2 linked regions of the Drosophila melanogaster genome follow. The gene in region 1 interacts genetically with each later gene. Each region holds a gene or a part of one and is shown in the gene's direction. Other genes may lie near its edges. The genes, in order: RpL27A and PNUTS.

The links.
Region 2: of RpL27A (region 1) and PNUTS, changing one suppresses a phenotype caused by changing the other (phenotypic suppression), as found in Drosophila melanogaster (one study listed by BioGRID).

Annotation. Positions count from the first base shown.
Region 1 is NT_033779.5:4,454,720-4,463,704, reverse strand, and holds RpL27A (ribosomal protein L27A), read left to right. Parts: upstream 1-5,340; 5' UTR 5,341-5,413; coding exon 5,414-5,416; intron 5,417-5,647; coding exon 5,648-5,965; intron 5,966-6,030; exon of another isoform or gene 6,031-6,102; intron 6,103-6,195; coding exon 6,196-6,324; 3' UTR 6,325-6,330; intron 6,331-6,415; 3' UTR 6,416-6,519; downstream 6,520-8,985. Other genes in the region: CG15443 (uncharacterized protein), read left to right, coding at 745-1,081, 1,142-1,881; CG15435 (uncharacterized protein), read right to left, coding at 2,146-3,501, 3,572-3,727; mRpL27 (mitochondrial ribosomal protein L27), read left to right, coding at 4,173-4,221, 4,276-4,439, 4,498-4,701; Gs1l (GS1-like), read left to right, coding at 7,256-7,319, 7,373-7,591, 7,967-8,379; ND-B8 (NADH dehydrogenase (ubiquinone) B8 subunit), read right to left, coding at 8,567-8,649, 8,711-8,817, 8,879-8,976.
Region 2 is NT_033779.5:865,891-879,157, forward strand, and holds PNUTS (phosphatase 1 nuclear targeting subunit), read left to right. Parts: upstream 1-4,574; 5' UTR 4,575-4,662; exon of another isoform or gene 4,663-5,450; 5' UTR 5,451-5,683; coding exon 5,684-5,686; intron 5,687-5,750; coding exon 5,751-5,848; intron 5,849-5,915; coding exon 5,916-6,190; intron 6,191-6,317; coding exon 6,318-7,649; coding exon of another isoform or gene 7,650-7,828; exon of another isoform or gene 7,829-8,259; intron 8,260-9,147; coding exon 9,148-10,847; 3' UTR 10,848-11,148; downstream 11,149-13,267. Other genes in the region: dbe (dribble), read right to left, coding at 2,849-3,886; ninaA (neither inactivation nor afterpotential A), read left to right, coding at 11,472-11,981, 12,080-12,283; CG15824 (uncharacterized protein), read right to left, coding at 12,391-12,444, 12,502-12,883, 12,948-13,267.

The DNA of each region.
Region 1 (8,985 bases):
GAAAATTAATGCGATTGCCTTGATGAACAATTCAAAATAATAATAAGCTAAACTTCACATTGTGCACAGTACACTGGGCACCCTATTCTCTGGGCCATATGCTAAATCGATTTATTATCGATGTTCGAAATTCAAATTATTTATCAAAATGATGATTTTTGAAACTAAGGTGTGTTTACCATATTTAACAGCTGAGATAAACGCAAACTTGCAAGGGTCGCCCTGTGGTGGTCAGCCCAAGTTTTGATGGGAAAATTCTTATCGGATATCGATATCCTTTACCTGTTGAAGAATATAAAATTGAAATAAATTTCTTTGGAAAAACAAACATTTATCTTCGTATAGTTTTTTCACATTTTCGCCTAGCTAGTGGTGAATAATTTTGGACAGAAGGAGCACTGGACTTTTTCCGTGGAAATCATAGAAAAATTAAATTAAAAAGGCACAAAAAGGAAATGAATCTCCTCGCCGAACTTCTTTGCCAGTATAAAAATAAATTCACATATGAAAAATCGGGTTCCTGGGTGCCACTGAATATGTTTATCCATCGATTCCGGGCTCAGATTACCACCATTGACCTGAAATTAAATAAGCATTACTTACTCCAAATAAAATATAAACAAACAAGTGCGTACCTTTTTTGTTTACAATTTTAACAGCTGATGAGTGAAGTGCTGTTAACCTTTCATAGTTATCGATAATCTGTTATTATTATCGGAATATTGCTCACTTGCTAAGGATTCCATGAAATTTAAACAAATGGACTTTGTGACGACAACTGGGGAGGGAAGTTTTCTGCGAAACAAGATTCGTGCATATGCCAAGGATCACCGTGTTGAGTGCCGCATAAAGGCGAAAGACTCATTGCGCATTGGACTTGGACAGGTTAAGCAGGAAGTGGCGGCTCTTGAGATGGGCACCAAGGACGTCATTGGAATGGCCAGCAGGATCAAGCGTCGCAAGCACGCCACCTCCGAGGATCTGTGCCGCTTGTCGCTGGGGTTCCTCCAGAGCAATGACAACATCAATGCATTCGCAGCTATTCCTGGCGCCATTCAGGTTCTGGTTAAGGAGCTAACTGGTAACCAACTGCACCCTCATTAGCTTTAGTTTTATATAAAAAGGTTGACTTGACTTTCAGGACCTCACATTCAACGACAGACAGATGCCGTGGAGTGCTTGTGTAATCTTTCCTTGGGCGAGGCCCATGTCTCCGAAAAGATTGTCACTTTGGCGGGCAGCTACATGGTCACCTACCTTGATGGCAAGGCCGAACGCCTCAAGCGCAGTTGCCTGTGGACACTGGCCAACGTTCTGGGCACATGCGACAAGGCCGGCAGCGTATTGCTGCAAATGCAAATAGTACCCAAGCTGTGGAGGCTCTACATCGAGCCCAATGGCTGCCAAGAAGATGCGGCCATCTGCCTCTCCCTGGTGGCCACCCGCTGCCCGCAGCATGTGAGTGACGAGGATCGAAGGTACATTGGCCAGAATCTGCCTGAGAAGCTCCACGGCCAGCCTGCCAGCGAGTACTTCATGTACATAGTGCACCAACTGGAAATAGTGACACAGGAGCACAAGTTAGATGCTCAACAGGCCGAATGCCTGGTGCGTTTCTTTGAAGCCACCTTAGCATCGCCAGCCGACCGGCTGTGCCTAATCTACGCCGTGCGTGTAATGACCAATCTGGTAGCCCTAGGTGACACAAGTCTAATATTCGCACTGGCAGACCCGCAGAATCTTGTGCAAACCCTAAACCAGCTCTTCGCTCTGCGAGATCCAGATCTCAACCTGGACGCGATGCGCTTGCTCAAGAACTGTCTGCACTTGAAGGTAGCAGATTCCAACCTGGTACTGAATAGCTTGCAAATATACGCATAGGCTTATGGTTAAGAATAAGTCTTGCAAATCTCTTTATTGGTCTTAGAGTACATATAAATATAAAGCCACGGACTTTTGAGTACTCGAGAATGTATTGTAAATGAACATGGATTGCCGCTAAGCAAAACTAAATCACTAATGGAAACAGAATAAAATAAATAAATAATAAATAAATACAATACGACAAAAACACAGATGCAAAGTGGTCAACATGATTACTAGTTTGATTGAGCCACCGGCATGAAAAACAGGACTTTGTAAAACCTAAATATCATCCTCGAAGAGGGCGATTATTTGACGCCTTTTGGCTTCGTCGTCGGCGTTCAGTTCATTGCCCCTGTGGGCATTGTGGTTGTGCACCTCCAGTTCGGAGACTGAGTCAAATTCTAAATTGCACTGCCCGCAGCGGGCTGAGAAAACGGGCGCTGGACCCTGCGAAACTGTGCCAGGAGAGACAGCGGCCCGTTGCAGCTTCTCGAGGAACGTGGCTCTCTCCCTGTGCTTGTCCAGCCCGATTCCCAGCGCCGCCTTTCCGCGAATGGGAATGGGTTTTTTCACCGTCGGCGTGCCCTGGGAATGGCAACTTTCAGAGCGCTCAATGGCGTACAGCACGTTGTTCTCCTCCGTGATCGGAGTCGTCGTTCCGCTGGCACAGTCGAATAGAGATGGTTCCTGCACCGGCCGGGGATCGGGTATATCTATGGGAATTGGCGGCTCAGCTATCTTCTCACCGTTGGACACCTTCACCTGATTGAGCTTCTCGGCCAGAAGCGAGTCTATGGAATGTTCCTGCAGCCAGGCGCAAGTTTTGTGCAGAGCGAATATCATGCGGCGGATGAACTCGTGCGGCGAGACCATTTTCTGTCGCCTAATCTCGAGCAACTTGGTCACCTCGGTAACAAACGTGACGAACTGGTATTCGACGCAGTTGTCCAGATGCGACTGATGCGAGTCCTCGAACATGAAGCGTTTGGAGCATGCCGGACACTTGCGCTCCTTCCACATGGGCTCCGGTATGTTCACTTTGATGTCGCGCAGCTGCAGCTGATCCTGCTCCATGGGATCGTCCTCCTCGAAGTTGGTCTCGGTGTAGTTATAGCAGTTCTTGTGCTTGCGCAGCAGGGCCGCCTCCTCGTTGTCGTCGCTGGAACTGGCCACCGCATAGTCGTCATCTTCGTCGTCATTTTGGCCACTGCTCGATGGCAGTTCGCCATCCCGCGGTTGCCTGGGCATGCTGTTGTGAGGCTGCTGCTTGTTGAACAGCACGTTTAAGTACTGGATCTTCTGCTCAGCATTGCCGTCTAGCTGGGTAGTCGTCTGATTGAGCAGTCGCTTGTGTACCTTGTCCTTGGATGACTCCAGTTTGTTGGCGCTGTTGTTTAGCAGAAGATTATGCACTGGCCTCTGCTCCACATAATTCAGATCCTCCGCCGTGAAGAGGGCGCTCTCCTTGTCCATCTTGTTCGCATCCGAAACGTTGACCCTCTTCTGCTGGTAGAGCTCCGCCAGCTTGAGACTCAGCGCGTTCTTGATGCACTGTTCCCGGAATGTGACGGCATGCTTGAGATAGGAGATGCACGGCGCACATATGTTGCGTGGCAGTCCGTCGTCCGTGGAGTTCTGCGGTCGGTCGAAAGAGGAGGCACTCATATAAACATTTATCTGGCTACTTTAGAATGGAGTCACTTACTTTCAGGCCCGTCGTCTCCTCCAGCAGAACGTTTATGGGCTTTTGCCAGTTGAGAAACTCGTTTGTGGAGCCGTGCAAATACGTGGGAATCTTGGCGAATATCTCGTAGTCTGCGGGGCTGCTGCAGATGCGGCAGATATTGCCCCACGACGTCATACTTATGGCAAACCTTAAACTTAATGCTTATGCCGGAAAAAATAAACAATGACAATTTTCAACACTCCGGCGAGTGTTGCCCTACCACTGAAGGTTCAAAACTCAACAGTCCACCCACTTGCGGCAGTGATGTCCAGTTAGCTATAACAGGATTACAGCAAATTTTTTGAATATTAATTATTATTAGCTAAACACGTGACAGATATATTAATGACTAAGACGATAGTTTATTTAAGCATAAATAATACTGTTGAAAATACAAACGTAGATTTATTTGATATATATTTACAAAGCTAGATTTTATTAACACCAATTGGCAACAGTGGCCAACAGTCTGTTAATGCTCTTGATCTAGCTGAACTCGGGGGTCACACTGGTGCCCATCTGGAATTGCATAAACAAACCTCGCTACTGGAATAAAATCACAAATATGTCGTTTAATATCATGCAAAAGCTGACCATGCAGTGCCTGAAGGCAGACCAGCCGCTGATGAGTAAGGACTTCCCACGAACCGGTTGCATATTCTAATCAATTCAATCCCATTTAGCCACCGTGCGCAATGCCAGCAAGAAAACCGGCGGAAGTACGAGGAATAAGAAGGGCCATGCGAGGCCCAAACATCGCGGATGGCGCGTCCAGGATGGGCACCACGTCTCCGAGGGCACAATACTGGCCACCCAGCTCACAACGCGCTTTCATCCGGGCCTGAATGTGAGTAGCGCAGGAAGGAGTTATCCCGGCATATTTTTATACTTTTTCCCATTGAAAGGTGGGCTTTGGCCGCAATGGAACCCTTTTCGCCATGGAGCACGGCAAGGTTTATGTGACCTGCGAGGCCATCGATCCCAACTGGGACCACACCTGGATTCAGCGGAACTACGCCGGTCGCCAGGGCCAGAACATCTACAAGAAGTTCTTCAATGTTGTGCCCGAAAATCAGCATCAGCGATTTCGTCTAGTGGAGGAAATCTAGATTGTTAAATACAAAATTTAAACCAAATGGAAATGTGAATATTTGAATTTTTGGCAATTAACATCGATGTGCTTAACAGCACCTGTTATATTTACATGCCAGCACGACCGTTATACAGCACTGTATTTAGCAATGCTCTGAACCAACTATCGAATACACGCCCCGAATTTGAAAAGAAATCCAGTTAATAGCCAGATATCAATGCAACATTTTCGATTATTAATTTCGCAAAACTTTTTACATTGCGAACTTCAAAAACAAAAACTACACTTCCCCCTTTTTTAGCCAAGCCGAACGCTATTGAACTGTAAAATGAACTTTAATAATAAGCCATAATCATCTATAAGAAATTATAAAATTATGCACATGACGGTATAGGCACTGCCTACAGAATTTCGCTTAAATCAAGTACACGTTTTATCCTATGAATGTAAAAACTTATTTAGTATTGTTGTAGTGAAATTCAATTTAACGCTTATATATGCAGTATTATGTTTAATTATTCATGATTATATATTTTCATAATGCATATAGACTTAAATTTATCTTAAATATAATGGTGTGTACGAGATATTTTTTCAGACTAAAATGGTAGTTAGGGGTATATGTTTTCTGTCCGGATGGTATTTCGTATTTTTTGTTATCGCCGCCGGGCGGTCACACTGCTACAACCGCAGCCAACTTCGCTTCTTTCTTTCCTACAATTTTAAAGATGGTGAGTGGACGTCGGTAAATGTGGTGCACCTAAAATGTGGTTTGTGGGCAGGCGAATGATGTGGAATAGAAATAAGAGCTCACTCAAAGTGCCGCAGCATGCCTGCCCACTGACTGCAATGGCCAAGTGAGCATAGCGACTGGAGCAAGTAAACATAACCTCCAGCACGTGGGTGAAAATGATTGAGGAATGCTCAATGAAAACACGTTTCTTTTCTGCTCTCCCTTACAGTCGAATATCAAGCGGAAGAAGACCAGGAAGCTGCGTGGTCATGTGAGCCACGGTCACGGCCGTATCGGCAAGCACCGCAAGCATCCCGGAGGTCGCGGTAACGCTGGTGGCATGCACCATCACCGCATCAACTTCGACAAATACCATCCTGGTTACTTCGGCAAGGTGGGCATGAGGAACTTCCATCTGCGTCGCCAGCACAAGTTCAGGCCCGAGATCAACCTGGACAAGCTCTGGTCCCTGGTCGGAGCCGAGAAGTTCGCCGAGCTGGAGAAGGAGAAGAGCACCAAGGCTCCCGTCATCGACTTGGTTAAATTCGTAAGTTTCGCCCGAATTCCCCATCCAGCTACGCGAACTCTGCTGCCGCTTTCAACATGAAGATACACCCAAGGCGATGGGCGGACAGAATGCTACCGTACAATTGCTCTCACCGTGTAGAGGACAGCCTTTCAGATCAAAGCCAGCAGTTCTTGAAGAGGATGTGCACCCGTTCTCACCCCGTTGTAACCCATTGTATTGACTCTGGTGTCCTTCTCATGTCTCCACAGGGCTACTACAAGCTGCTGGGCCGTGGTCACCTGCCCGCCCGCCCCGTCATCGTGAAGGCCAAGTACTTCTCTAAGAAGGCTGAGGACAAGATCAAGAAGGCCGGCGGTGTGTGCTTGCTGAGCGCCTAAGTTAAGGTGAGCTTGTGTGTCTAGCTGTCTTACCTATTCGTCGGCGAAGCAATGAAGTGCAGTATCCTAATTGCTATTGTTTCCCTTGCAGATTCCTCCTCTACAGAAGAAAAAAGCAAGTGGACTACATTCGACCATCAAAAATGTATTTGTTTTTTAATAAATTTAAAAGAAAAACAAGTATTTGCTATTCCGACAAAATGTGTTTACTAAAAGGTATTGGGGCTTCATTTTCTGCTCGCTTGGCGCAAGTTGTTTAGAACTTTCTATTTCTATTCCTGCTACAACTTTCCTTTATATTTTTATAAAGAATAATTTCTATATGGTTAGTTTGTTGTGGCAAAGGAAAACTTGTATTTTGAATCAAATAACAAGGGCAAATTTAAATGAGTTTGACAATATTAGAAGTATGCCTATTTTTGTAACTTAAGAGGAACAGTAATAATATAAAGAAAATAAATAGTAATTTAAAGAGTATAACTGCGTCGGTGCGCATTATCAGTTAATCCCTCCATTTTTAGCACTATTCTCGACTAGGCTTTTTGCGCCTTCGCAGCTACGGTCACACAGCGGCGGGCAGAAAGCTCGCGGAAAAATTCGGAAGAGGCGGAAAAGTACGAGACGCCCGATATTGCAAAAAGCGGAAGCAGATTACGTGTAGGTCAAGGCCGTAGGGATGAGGGCAACTTCCATCTTTGACCTTGCTGTTGGTGATGGGGTGCGGCGACCTTGGGTCAAGGACACGACCGAACAAGAGGCACCGAATCCAGGAAACGTAGTCAAAGTGGAGGGCATGCCTGTGTGGGCGGGGGATGTTCCAGTAAAAACAAAGTAACTTGATTATGACCTCTGTGTTGCAGTTAGGAAACGAACTTGTTGACTTTGTAACATTACATAATCGGAAGCCCAGAGTGAGGAGAACTGCTGCGAGATGGCCAACAAAGTGCTGCGAAAGGTGACGCACTGCGTCTTCGACATGGACGGTCTGCTGCTGGGTGAGTGCTGCCGTGCTTGTATCTGCTTTCTGTGTTAACTATTTGCCGAACAGACACCGAACGCCTTTATACTGTGGCCACCGAAATGATCCTCGAGCCCTACGGCAAGACATATCCCTTTGAGATCAAGGAGCAGGTCATGGGCCTGCAGACGGAACCGCTGGCCCGGTTCATGGTCGAGCACTACGAGCTGCCGATGTCGTGGGAGGAGTACGCACGCCAGCAGCGCGCCAACACCGAGATCCTGATGCGGAACGCCCAGTTGATGCCAGGTACTAATCCCAGTTCTCGCTTTGCCGTCACGTTTCAGACACGGAGAGGATATACGAGGAGGTCACCCGGCAAATAGCCGCCTCCTTTGGCCGCCCGTATCCGGAGGAAGTGCGTTTCCGGGTAATGGGCACCACGGACCAGCGCTCGGCAGAGATAGCCATCACCGAGTGCCAGCTGCCCATCACAACCGGAGACTATCTCAAGCGGTACTCGCAAATGTGCCACGAGCGATTCCACAACGTACCCCTGCTGGAAGGTTAGCACCACGACCAGAAAACTAATCGGCATTTCTCCCTATAAATACTTCTGCTTCAATTACTATCCTACTGTGATTAAAGCCGTTTGTTAATCGTGTGCTTCCTTCCCCGTTCAAGGTGCTGAGCGCCTGCTGCGTCACCTGCACGCCAACAAGGTACCCTTTTGCTTGGCCACCAGCTCCGGCGCCGACATGGTCGAGCTGAAGACGGCCCAACATCGGGAGCTGTTCTCCCTGTTTAACCACAAGGTGTGCGGTTCGTCGGACAAGGAGGTGGTCAACGGCAAGCCTGCGCCCGACATTTTCCTAGTGGCCGCCGGCAGATTCGGTGTGCCGCCCAAACCGTCCGACTGCCTGGTGTTCGAGGACTCGCCGAACGGCGTGACGGCTGCCAACAGCGCCGGAATGCAGGTGGTGATGGTGCCGGACCCACGACTGTCCCAGGAAAAGACCTCGCACGCCACACAAGTGCTGGCCTCGTTGGCGGACTTCAAGCCGGAGCAGTTCGGGCTGCCCGCCTTCACGGATTGAACTTAATGGCTGACGTACTTTTTGTAGCTAAAAGATGCTATTGCTGTAATTGGAAATCGATGTACCTACCAAGAAAATGAATTTAAGTGTAAATGTTATCCCATATACACGTATACGTATGTGTGCATAAAGCATCTGGCTTTGCCTTTATTTTGCGCCTAATCTACATAGTTTTCCAGCGTAAGTTCTATTTGCCAACCGCTTCCAGGTTTTTGTGTATGTCAGGAGCAGCGTGGTTGGCCAGGGAGAGGGACACTTCCTTGCCGTTGCCTGCGGACATGGGAATCGATGTGGGGGAAGCTAGCAGCGCACATTATGCTAATCTACTCACCATAGCGGGCGTAGAGGCGGGGCTGGACGCCAGAGCACTCGCGCACGAGGATCGGCAGGTCGGGATTGCTCTTCTTCAGGTTTGGATAGAACCTTTCCACGTATTCCCTGTAAAGGAACGCTGCTTTAGCAAATTATATAATTTAAAAGCGGAAAATGACAATTTCACCTGACTCCCTTGGAAGTGTCTCCTTTGGGATCCAGAATGATTCGCAGCTCCTTCAGTTTTGGAGTAAAACTGGCCAATCGGAACAGAGTAATACCCATTTTGGCACC
Region 2 (13,267 bases), 3.6 Mb from region 1:
ACAGCAACAACTTTTCCGCTGTTTTAGGCTGGGCTCAGACGCCGACTGCGACGCGGGCAGCGGTGTCGCATACCTATCTACACTAAGCAAAAATCGCTACTGTTTTTATAAAGATATTGAAAATCATTATAATAATCCTATGGCGAGAAAGTCTCTAGAATGTAGTTCTAACCATTTTTAAATGTTAACAACATTTTCCATGATAGAAACACCCCCAAGTTTGTCGATTGTTTTCAGTGTATCAATCCAGCAGTGTCGCAGGGTCAATGGACAGGGGAAAGGGGGTGTTGGGTGCTTGTGTACTTGCAAACAGGTGAAAGAGAAACTGCAGAGGGGGTCAGCTGGAGGCACTATCTGCTTACGATCTTGTACAAGCCAAAATCGCAGTAAACAAACAAGCGAAGTGCACGTAAAAAAGAAAACACTGACCCACTACACCCCTGGAAATGTTTTGTTTTCGTTAAGTTGCGCCGCTGTGTTATATTTCAGCGTTTTACTGTTCGTACAAGCCCCAAATTGCATCACACTTGTGGAATTTGACAGATTTGTGTTTTCGCTCCTAACTCTACAGCAGCTTAGAGGCCAATGACGAAACGCGATAAACATTATCGCACTTGGGTAACATGGAAATAGTTGGGCTTGCATAAATCATGCTTTAGAGAAAGTACTAAAGCTGCTGGGTGATTTGAAGTTAAGTTAAGTCATCATAAACATCTACAAAAACATTATGCTAAATGAAATACATATATGTTTATAATATAAGTATTACTACTTTTGTACTTCTATAATCTTGAAATATTTGCAATCCACACATATGTATCTATGCATCTGTAAATAGGGGAAAATTATAAGCCTCGGTAAGGCAATCTAAGATACATAACTGCACTGGTATCTAAGAACTCCCCGACAAGAACCATAAACCTGGAGACATGCCCCAAGCATAGCTTCCATTCAGGTGAAGATAATTAATTGGGTCCTGATAAGCGTGAGATGGGGTGTTAGAGCCTCAAATAATTCAGACAGCTGGGATTTAGATAAAACGGCGGCGTGCGGTACACTTGCTTTTTTATTTTATCTCGCATACTTTTTGGTTTACGAAGCAAATGGCAAAACAACAAATGACAATAGTTGTTTTTGCTGTTCTTTGGGTGGAAACCCGCTCGTTAGATGGTGGTGGGCTGGAGGGGGGTGGAGAGACATCGACACCCCGATCCACACTATTGTCGTCCCCCTCGCGCGCATGCGTGGCAGATAAGCTGACGTCTTTGCTTGCGCTGGTGTGTGCGGCTTGAAAAGGTATTTGTCTCCGTGTCTCGAGCCCCCCGGCACCCGCCACCCCCTCGCCTGTTGCTGCAACTTTAGTTTTTGACCGACCGCATTTTTTAAGCTTTCTTTTCCACCTGTTTTCCGTTTTCCTCTCTCACTGTGCGCTGTTTATATTCCACGAGCCTCTCTCAGACACACACACACACGTCGCCTATAAGCCGCACTCACACAGGTGAGGCTTCACAGTAATGTGCGAGCGCGGATATACAGTGGACCCTCAAATAAGTAATCTAATTGAAAATAACATCCTTGAAGCTCTTTAGGCAATTATTTAAATTAATAATCTAACCAATTTCAAATGATTGAACTTAGTATATGTTCCAGATTTCCCGCAATCGAGTATTACTTCACCGACGCATTACTGTATGTACAAAAGTGGGAGCGGCGGCAGGTTTCGTATTGATTTTCAATGCTTTGTTCAATTCATTCACTAATTCACAGACACAGGCTCAATTCGCTGTATGTATTATTCTAATTGACCGCATTTTCCGGTGAAATGTGTGATATTCATATGTATGTGTATACACTCCCTTCGCACACACACGCACAACACACAGGTATCGATATCACGTTAGCATTTCGATATCATCCTCTCACCTAGCAGCACATTCTTTTTCTAATTAGCACGAATAATCCAAGTCTCTGTCACGTTTGCTTGGCATTTCAACTGGCTTTCGGGCTTATTTTCGGGTTTAGCTTCGGTTTTAGGCGTTACAACTGCGATCACTCGAGCATTGTTTCAATTTTAATTCAAACATTAAAAGTAACTGTAGTCCAGCACTTAATCCTCTCTTCTTCTTCCACCTCCTTATTACCTGTCTTCGCCGTTCTCTCCGTCCTTTTCTGGCAGCCGCCGCCTTTGGTCTAGTGCTTTCTCGCTCCTCTTTGATTTTTATTTTTAAGACGGCTTTCTTTCGCTCCGTTCTTTTTGATTCTCACAGACCGTTTTTCTATTTTCTATTTTTCTGTCGCTTGCGGAAAATAAACGTACGAATAACAATAGCCCCGCGACGCCAATGTTGTTGTTGCCGTGGCTTTTCAGATACTGTTTTTGTTGTTATTGTGGAACGCACGCGAGCGTCATCCGCTGTTTAAGCGCGGTTAGTACATGTCAGTCCGGTACCAGAAATCGTACTAACTTGGCTCATTCGCTGGCCTTTTGAGTTGTTTGTATATATTTGTATTAAGCCACTTGTTGAGAGAGTGCGACAGAGAGAGAGAGGGAGAGAAAGAGATCTCTCTCTACACTAGCGGGCACCGCAATAGAATCAAAATTATTGTATAAGTATTTAATTTAATTTTATTACAAGTATAAGGTATTCAGCATGTTATATGCTGAATTAGCATTATGTATCCATTGCATTTTTGGAGATTGGCTTTTAAAAACAACTAGAATTAATACGAGTTCGTCCCCACAAACTTTTCATCCCATTAGTAAACCTTAAGATTTCTATTTACACGTTGCTCAGAAAATCAATTTTTATTGAATAGGTCCTACTACTAATTAAAACTAGGAAAACTATCAGCTGCTCCTCGCCTTCTTGTTGGCCTTGATCAGCTTGGCCTTCAGGGCCTTCACGTCCACCTTGCTGGAGGAGGAGCCATCCTCCTTCTTCCGACTTGAAGCAGCTGACTCCTCCGTGGGCGGGACAAAGTCCTTGTTTCGGCGTTCGTCCTGGCGCTTGGCCGCCTCCTTCTGCTTTTCGGTGCGCTCCTGGTTGCGCTTCGCTTGCTTCTGCTCCTGGTTGAGGAAGTACTCTCCGCTGGCCAGCTGCTTGTCCACCTTGCTCTCCGGCTGGCTGGGCGGGAATGGGGTGTACTCCTTCTTTTGCTTCTTGACCTTCGGCTGCTTGCGTTTGCTAATGTTTTTGTTCTTGAACTTGGGCAGGAATCGGGACCAGTCCTCGTTGGCCAGACGCGGATCCTTCATCAGCTCCCGCTTGATCATCAGAGCCTTAATGTTGTATATGGGGTGCACATTGTTCATGGTCTCCAGGACTATATCCCGCACCTGCTGAAGGCCCTTGTAAGGACCCAAGGCGGAGACTGTGTTTCCTTGAACCAAAACGTAGCAATCGGTGAGCAGTTCAATGGACTTAAGGGTGGCGCCGTTAGGTCCGATCAAACGCTGTCGCCGCTTCACGAACTTCTCCTTCTTGTGCACAAGGTTTCCGATTTTGATGATGTCACACCCAATGTCGTCCTGCAGGACCCGCTTGGCCTGCTCGAAGGGAACACTTCTGGCCATCAGCTTGATCATATCCCGCGCCTTGATGATGATGTAGGGATCCCAGGTCTTGCGACTGGTCTTCACCACCATGCTCCCCTCCATCAAATCTAGCTCCGCCTTCAGGTGGTGCTCCGCCAAGCACTGCTCCACCAGAGGCCAAACCTCCTTAAGATAGCGCTCCCGATATTTGGGAAACAGCGTGGCGAAGGAGCTCTCCTCCACCATCCCATGCGGGTTGTCCTCCTGCCTGAAGGCAGGGATCTTCATGGACCACGCATTGTCCACCGGCTCGGTGCTGATTTTGGTCTCCTCCGCTTCACTTTCGCTCATCGTTACTCGAGTTTTCAGAAGCTAATTCTACAGGTAAGATTCTTGCACGCTTGTTTTGGCCAGGCTGCCAGATCAGCGGTAAATGCGTGTGACCATATCAGGGAAAACTGGTTGGTTAATATTATTGATAGATTACCTATTTAAAGGTTTATTTTTATCTTGATTATAAAATAAATTTTTCGATTGAGAATGTTTTAAAATATATATTCAAATACAATTATATTTGATCGTGTGCCAGATAAATGCCTTAACAAAATTGCGATTCCAATGTAACTCAAATATTAAGGATATTGGGTACATCAATACTAATAAAATATGCAATTCTGAATATCTAAAATATAAGAAATAAGTCAAACAATACATGATTTAGCCCTGACACCTTCACAAATTTTATTTAATTGAAAAAGAGCTCAGGGTATCTATAACTTATGCCATTATATGTGTTAGAATAATTAAGATGAATTAAAATCTTAATTCAATAAATTTCTTTTTATAGCATTCGCTATTATCCACCGTGGATAGTTTTTGAAACTGTTAACGGGAAACTAAATCCATTTATATTAAAAGTGTTTTTAAGTAAATAATTATTGTTTGTACTTTCAAAATAGGGGTATTAATTAGATTACCATATTCCGACTATGCGTTTTGGTATTTTCTAAACAAACTTTTATTTTCAAGCAAGGAAAGGTCACACGATTTTGTGAGCCTAAGCAAAGCGCACGCAGGAGTTTTCGGAGAGATAGAAAAATCGTCGCCAATTAAATATTTAACAAATTGTAAGGCCGATAAACAATTGTACATTTAATATATATTTTCTGGAAGGCTTATTACCGATTTGCTCGACCTAAGTGTGCGGACCTAACCGCATGTCCAATTTTGGGGCGTGGACGTGAACGAAAGCCGATAATTAGGATTAAACAAAGAAAAATCAATATAAAGTGGCCGATATTGTTGAAGTTGCTATTAAAAGACAATTTTCTAGCATTTCCCTTGGCTGCGGATTTAATTACGCCTTTGTGAAAAATTGTGAAAATCAAAATGGCGTCATTGTTGTGTGCGTGGCAAGGCGCTGCCAACCTGCTTTAACAGAAAAACTAAGTAACTTTCACATTTTGCTTGTACCTAAAGTCAAATTTGGGTTGTAACCAAAAACGAGGTAGAGAGACATTTGTGCTACAAACGTTCAGACGAACGCATGTTTTCGTATCAATACCAATACGTCGTAATATATAATTTTCGGTTTTCTGAGAGTGGACAGCCTTCAGGGCTGCACTGGCTTATCGATTACCGATAGCCGCGAGCACACGTCCGAATTTCATCAGTGCCTGAAAAAATCGCAACGCGTAAAACACGTTTTCTGCAGCTCCAAAACAAAAAACAAAACATTCAAGCGGAGGGATTATTGGTTTACTGCCAGTTGAGACAATAAAATAACAGCATTTATCATATTTTGGCGCTGCTGCTGGAATTTATTTAATACTCGTCTTAAAAGTGAATTGTAGGGATATAGCAAAATTTTATCCTGCTAAATTTGTTCTCAGACTGGTGTTTTCTCCTATTTTAGATACTATTGCAGTCCTTGAAAAAGCGAATTCTTATGGAATTACGTAATCAGTGGAAATTTAGTATCTATTAAGACACCCATACCAACAAAAGCGAGTGTCGGTGCACACACGCACGATCCAACACACGCGCACACGTTGCGTATGGTCACACCTACAAGTGTGGAAGAGAGACGGCTATAGGGAGTTAGCGTTGCCAGATAAATTTTCTTCTTTCGCACGACTAACAAAGAAAATGGTGAGTTATATTGGCTAGGAAATGCAACAACAGTTGTGCTTTATTTAATGTTTTTATTCGACAGCCTCGTATAGTTCCACTGCAATTGCTGAGGTGCCTGCGGGTGCTTTTGGACAATAATGGTGGAATTTTAAGTGCAGTGGAGGTGAAACGCATTTCGGGGTAAGTTCACCACTTGTCAGCAGCGACACCTATCGGCGTTTGCTAATATCAAGTTTTTCGCCCACAGTTTGATGGCCAAGTATTCAAAAAAACTCGTCTCGAAATGTGTGTATGTACAAATTCTGAAATCCACAAAGACGGAACTATTGGGCGACTTTATGGCGGTGGGCGGTTGGTCGCTGGTCTACACCTGGTTAAATGATGCCATCAGGGCCATGAACTGGCCGCTGGTACAGGAGATCCTGGAACTGCTGCTCCTTTCTCCCGTGGATGTCAATCGCCTCAAGATAAACTCAGCACCTATTCTGGTCAAGGGGCTGTGCAAGGATGGCGGCAACGAAGGTAAGTTTTCTTTGATAAGTCTTACTCTAGTCGTAGATTAGTGTTTTTGGGTCATGTTTTGGGCTGTCCTTTATGCTTTTAATTACCTAGGGATTACTAATTGGCTTTTCTCGACCCCGTTTTCCAGGTGTACGCATTCTAGCCAAGCGTTTGGTAGAGCAGTGGCTGAAGATTGTGACGGAAAACACAAGCATGACGATCCAAGGTGCTGCGCCACATATTGCAGCCACTACTGCCTCTCAGGTTCCTGCATCCGTTTCTGGAGCTGGCTCCGCTTCAGTTCCGGACTCTGCCTCTTCTTCAGACAGCACTGATAGCGCCGGAGCACCTGTGACGTATACCATCACCTCGGCGGCCAACAGTAGCAATTCCAACAGCATTACCATCAAGTGGAAGCCTTTGTTGGACAACCCAGATGGTGGCGACGAAACGGATTCTGGCACACAATCGAAAGACAACGAGGTGGAACATCTGGAAAAGGGCTCCTCCGCAACCCACTTATTAGCAGATGCTAGTCTGGGGAAAAAGTCCGGGTTAGATGATAGTAGCTCCGCGGCGGAGGTTAAGTCTGGGGAGGACGTGGATAATAAGAAGCATAAGAGCTCAAAGAGCGACAAAAGTAAACGGTCCGAGAAGGAGCGCGAGAAGGATAGAAAGAAGGAAAGTTCAAGTCATAGGTCCTCCTCATCTAGCCATAAGTCGTCCTCTTCCTCGTCATCCTCCTCTTCGAAGAGCAGTTCTTCCAAGAGCTCCTCATCTTCTTCCTCTTCCCATCGCAGTTCTAGCGATAAATACCGCGATAAAGACAAGGCTCGCTCAAGTTCCGGCTCCTCCAGCTCGAGCAAGGACCGGGAGCGCAGCAGCGGTTCGTCTTCTTCTTCCTCGAATAAACACAAGTCCTCAAAGTCCTCCTCGTCGTCGTCGTCGTCGTCGTCGAGCAGCTCTGGTTCTAGTTCGTCCAAAGATCGCAAGTCGTCGTCGTCAACTTCGTCATCATCCTCATCCTCGAGGCAGGACAAGGACAAGGACAACAAGCTAATGCCTCCGCCAGCTGTGGCAGCATCAAATGCTGCAGGTACATCTCCTACAGCTTCGGCAAAGGAGAGCGACGCACAGAAGCCCAGATCGATTCCTATCATGTCCCGCAAGGCCTCCATTTCGATAGAAATTCGCCGGGACACCGAAAAGACGGCCACTGTAAAGACGTACCAGTCCAAATTCAGATCGCATGGCCTGACGGAAGAGGCTCCGCCTCCCCCATCTCGCAAGGGCCTAAAGAAGCCCACATCGTCGGCGGTTGCCGCTTCACCCGCTTTAATGGCAGTCCCGTCTTCACTGAAGCGACCATCGCCGCCACCCAGGGATTTGTCCACCGACAAGAAGGCCAAGATCGACATCAACAACGTCGCGGGACATGTGGAGAGGCCCGGAGCCGCCAAGCTGATAGCGCCCAAAAAGAGTAAGCAACAGATGCTAGAATCACTATTAATGCTCTTCTCTATTTTATTCCACAGCCCAAGAACTTTGGTGGCTTTTGCTTTTGTTTTCGATCGGAGTCGAATGTCGAACTCCGCCGTATTATTTGTTGATCTCCATTCCATTCTCAAGGTGTTTAATTTTGCTTGGGGCGGGTCTTAAATTGTAGAGCAGAAGTGGGGCCTTTTAGTGTGGGTACTTTGCATTATAATGTATCAATCGTGGCGGTGTTATCCCCGGATCGAGTTTGAACTGCAAGCTGCCCGAGTGTGAGTCTATGACCTCAATTCCGGATGACGGCGGATGAAGTTGAATGGAGTTGAATCCCGAAATCTGGGCACTGCGCATGCGCTGAGACCGAACGAAAACGAAATCTGAGGCACAGACGATGCCGCCGCCGCCGTCGTCGTCGTCGTTGTCGCTGCCTGATGTTAAGTATTCAAACCTCAAATCTTGAACGTATTTAGCTTAGCTTAGCTATAAGGTATGTAGATTCACTTGGCGAGCAGCCCACCTTAAAGACTTACAAATAAAATACGGTTTCCTCTAGAAAAATACGATTTTTCTATTGAATAAAAAAATGCATTGAGCGCAAAAGAAACGAAAACGAAAATATTGACTTAAGCTGGCGGTTCTATAAGTTGGTAGGTGGTTCGATCACCACCGTGGGCTTGAGTCCCAGCTGCTTTGCTTTGGCCTCGATTTTGCTGTCGTGCGTCACCGAGGGTCTCCACAATTGTTCGCCTCGCTAGAGCAGGCAACCCTAGTTTACCCACATCCTCGTCGTAGTGCGTCATCAGCGGATGCGTCACCTTGGCAGTAAGCTGCACGGTGCGCGTAATCTGATCGCAGTGTCGGGTTCCTTGGGTAGATTAGTGCTGAGGAAACCCAATGACACTTATCGATGTGCTGACATAAATATACTAAAAGCATCAAAGTTTAAAGAGGTTTAACTATTGCGTATAACTAGTAGTCTTAGCAATACACTTTTAATAAGCGTACTTCTCAAGTTTCAATCGCAATGAGAGCTTATAACTATTTTAATTATGATGATTAAACACTATTTGTGTTGAAAAACTAGTTAAATAAAAAAAAGTCGAATAATTACATTTTGACATTTATATATGAAATTATACCGAATAAAGTCGAGCAAGCCAAAACTTTTAAAGAACTTTTGGGGAAAATTCATGAATTGTTTAGTAGTTCTAGGTTTTGGTATATATTCGGTGCTTATTCCAGTAGAGAGACTCCCATTTCATTAATTATCGAAATGTGGGTAAACTTAATCAATCAATCATAAACACAACAAATGTGTGTGTCCAGATCAGATTGTTTCTTTCCATAACTTTTTTACTTCTAGCAATTTCCAGCAAAAGCAAAATCCACCAAAGCCAATGGGCCATTCAACGAAGGCCACTTAAACATTTTCTTAACTAAACCAATTACTGGAGCGATTACTTACTTTACCCTCATTTTTCCAGTTCAAACCCTGGTGGAGACCAACCTGTTCTCGGACGCCCTGGCCGCCTCCATCGAACCCAAAAAGGTGGTGAAGCGCAAGCGTACGTCTGCAACATCGCCCACGGACAAGGACGCGCCACTGGCGCCGCTTAAGTTCTACCAGGATACTCTGGACGAGTCGAAGAGCGAGGAGAAGTCGGACGACAGCAGCAAGGAAAACGATGATGCGCGCTCCTCGTCACCTGGCAAGGACACGGATGCCGATGACGACGACATTCCCCTTAAGAGGGTCAAGGAGGACATCGAGCAAAAGGTGCAGAAGGCGAAGGCTGCGGCAGGCGGAGAAGGCGGAGAAGCGGGTAACACCTCTGACAACGCTGAAGATCTTCCCGAGGAGCCCAAGAAGCCTGGACCTGGCTGTGGACCCGATGGACCACCGGGAGTGCTCACGCTGCACCGCCGCAAGGGCCCGAAAAAGAAGCTAACCTGGCAGTCAGAGGAAAAGCTCACCCAGATACGATACTTCGAGGTCGATCGCTCAGAGCGCGTAAATGTGATGAAGCAGACCTTCCTGGAAATGAAGAACATGGAGCGATTCAGCGAGCGGGACGCGCTGACCATTGCTCGGCGTGGATTCGACGATACCATGGAGCCGCAAATGGAGTGGCGGCCACTACTCGAAGTCGATAATGTGCCCGACCACCCGAACGGAAACCTCTCCAAGCAGCGCCAGGTGCAGATGGACAGGGAGGCCACCACTCTAAGAGCCCTGTACTTCTCGCCCGACATGATTCCCGACAGTCCTGCGGAGGCGGAACTGGAACCGCATTTTGCTCATGACATTCCCGTGATACCCATGGATGACCTGACGGGGAATCCGGATGCTGTCAACGACTACAGTGCCTTGGCGTGGCCGGAGCCCAAGAAATACGCGCCTAGCTCGGGAGTCGGAGCAAATATCAGCGGATCGGACATGGGCTTCAATGACAATATGTTGACCGGACTGGGAGCTGGACCGAACCTAATGCAAAATCCATTCGATCCGTTCATGGGAGGCATGCCTGCTCCCACGGGAATGCCACCCGGACCAAACATGATGCCAAATCAAGTGCCCAACGGAACGCCGCAAATCTGGCAGAACCAAATGGGTCCGGTAGGTGGGCCGCCCGGTGTACCGCCCATGATGAACGGACCCGGTGGCCCCGGAATGGATATGAGCAATATGAACATGAACAACATGCCACCGCAAAACTTTATGGGCAATCAGTTTGGAAGTCCAGTGTCTCCATTCGGAAGCGGCCCACCACCTGGATTCAATCAGTACCCGCCCATGATGATGAATGGACCAGGTCCGGGACCGGTAATGGGACCCAATGGTCCAGTGATGGGACCCAACGGCCCCATGATGAACGGCCCACCCAATGGACCCATGATGAACGGGCCGCCCAATGGAATGGGGCCAGGACTGATGATGGGCGGACCTAGGAATAACAACAACAACAACAACAGGAACAAAAACAACGGCGGCGGCATCTGGCGCAGCGGGGGCAACAACTTCCAGGAGAACTCCGGCGGCAACTGGCGCTCAGCAGGATCTGGCCCCAATCGAGGAGGTGGAGGAGGCAATGGCAACACCGGCGTCTGCAAGCAGTTCATGCGAGGACACTGCAACATGGGCAAGAACTGCAAGTATGTGCATCCGCAGAAGAAGCGCTTGTAGGACCTACCCGAATCTTCTGCGGAAGATTCAGCTGCATAGATCTCAGACGCGCAACGGAGGCCAAGATTTCCGAAATCGAGTCCCCACATGAAGACTGTATCCAGGTTAGCCGCCGCAAGTTAATCTAAGTGTATATATGTATTCGGTATATTTTTGTGTAGACGCAGTCTATCCCTAAGTTTTTAGCCTAAGATCTGGGTTCAATTCCCTGCCCCGCTAACTTTATTATTATGCTGATTACCATAAGGTTAAATATTTATAAGTTTAAATTTACACAATTAAATATCAAGTCATATGATGCAAAGCCAATGCAGTTGATTTATTTAGTGAAACGAATTGAATGCACTTTTAGAAACGATACTTTTGAAGTTTTAGTTATTAACATAGTTGAGCCAAACATTACGTTTGCCATTAAACCGAACAAGATGTTTGCTGCCGGGTGCTGAAATCGATGTCTGCAGAGGGTATGCCATCATCATGCGGTGCTTGCACTTAACCTGAAACTTTTGTGGCTTCCGTTTCCAGGCCCGCGACCCAGAATTGACTTTCTACTCGTATAGTTTCCACAGTCCAGTCTTCGTTTCAGTTACGTGTATTTCATCAGCGCGTTAGGTCCGTAAAATCATGAAGTCATTGCTCAATCGGATAATCCTGTGCAGCGCCTTTCTGGCCGTGGCCAGTGGTCTGAGCTTCACGGTCACGTCTCGGATCTACATGGATGTGAAGCACAACAAGAAGCCGGTGGGCAGGATCACGTTTGGACTGTTCGGGAAGCTGGCTCCCAAGACGGTGGCCAACTTCCGGCACATTTGCTTGCGCGGCATCAACGGGACCAGCTACGTGGGCTCGCGATTCCATCGCGTGGTGGACCGCTTTCTCGTCCAAGGCGGCGACATTGTGAACGGCGACGGAACTGGCTCCATTAGCATCTATGGGGACTACTTTCCGGACGAGGATAAGGCTCTGGCGGTGGAGCACAACAGACCCGGTTACTTGGGCATGGCCAATCGGGGCCCGGACACCAATGGCTGCCAGTTTTATGTGACCACCGTGGGCGCCAAGTGGCTGGACGGAAAGCACACCGTTTTCGGCAAGGTGCTGGAGGGAATGGACACCATCTATGCCATTGAGGATGTGAGTATTCAAGCAAACCGGAACCACAATCGTGGCTTAAACGCATAGCCACCACACAGAAATGTAAGAAACTTTTTCTGACACATTTTTCGTTCCAGGTAAAAACCGATACGGATGACTTCCCCGTGGAACCCGTGGTGATCTCCAACTGCGGCGAGATACCCACGGAGCAGTTCGAGTTCTACCCGGACGACTTCAACATCCTCGGATGGATCAAGGCGGCTGGTCTGCCCGTGACCAGCTCCTTCTGCGTTCTGCTCATTTTCCACTACTTCTTCCGCCAGCTCAACATGTACTGCTGAGGACTTTGGAGTATAAGCTTTATTACTGCACATAAGACTAAGAAGCCCCCATACACTCCGAATGGAATGAAACCCACAATAAATGCATACAAATCTTAAGGACTTCACTAGGATACGAGCACGGCCTTCAGTAGGATGGGAAGAGTCGGTCCCATGTGCAACTGTGGGATACGTGTTAGCATTTAAGGATTAGCTCAGCTTATGTCAGTGTAACTTACATCGATGAAGAGGTAGTCCTCCACGTGCTGATCCTTCTTGTAGAACCGCGACTCCGGCTTAAAGAGCCCAACCATGGTCACGTCCACTCCGGAATAGTTGGACAAGCAGCCTGAGAAGATCTTGGCCAGCGTGAAGTGGTGCTTGTGGTCTGGATAAACGGAACGGTTCAGGCTGTTGTAGTATTCCTCGATTAGGCGTCGGTCCTTGGGCGCCAGATCCCGCTGGTGCTGGACCATAGTGTCCAGGTCAAAGGAGTGGGCGTGCTTCACCTTGGGATCCTGCTCCGCGTCCATCAGTCGCTCCATCATATTCCTGTACTTTTTCTTAAAATACTCCAGTGCCGTGCACTTCTCAGCCCAGAAGGAGAACTTTTTGTCGGAGCTTAGGGATATTGATATTATTTGAGTTTCTTATAAATTAAAATGCATCAGATTATACTACTTACTGCTTGGCATCCGTGACATTGAAGTCCACATATAAGCCCGGAATCCTGACGGCCGTGCGTGCTGCTGCAATGAGTTTGCCGGGTCCGAAGAAGTGCAGCTTTAGCTGGAAGCGCCGCACGGAGTTCCTGGCCATGGAACCCAGGTCAAGGACGTAACCGTGCTGCTCGCACGGAATGGGTTGGACGGTGAAGTGCTTCACCATAGCCGACTGTTTGAGTCCCGGTGAATTGTGCATCTTTTGGTAGGTTTGATGGACCTGCTGGTGCAGCTTGTACAACTCCTGATTTGAGCGGAGTCGCTTTAGGTACCGCTCCGCCAG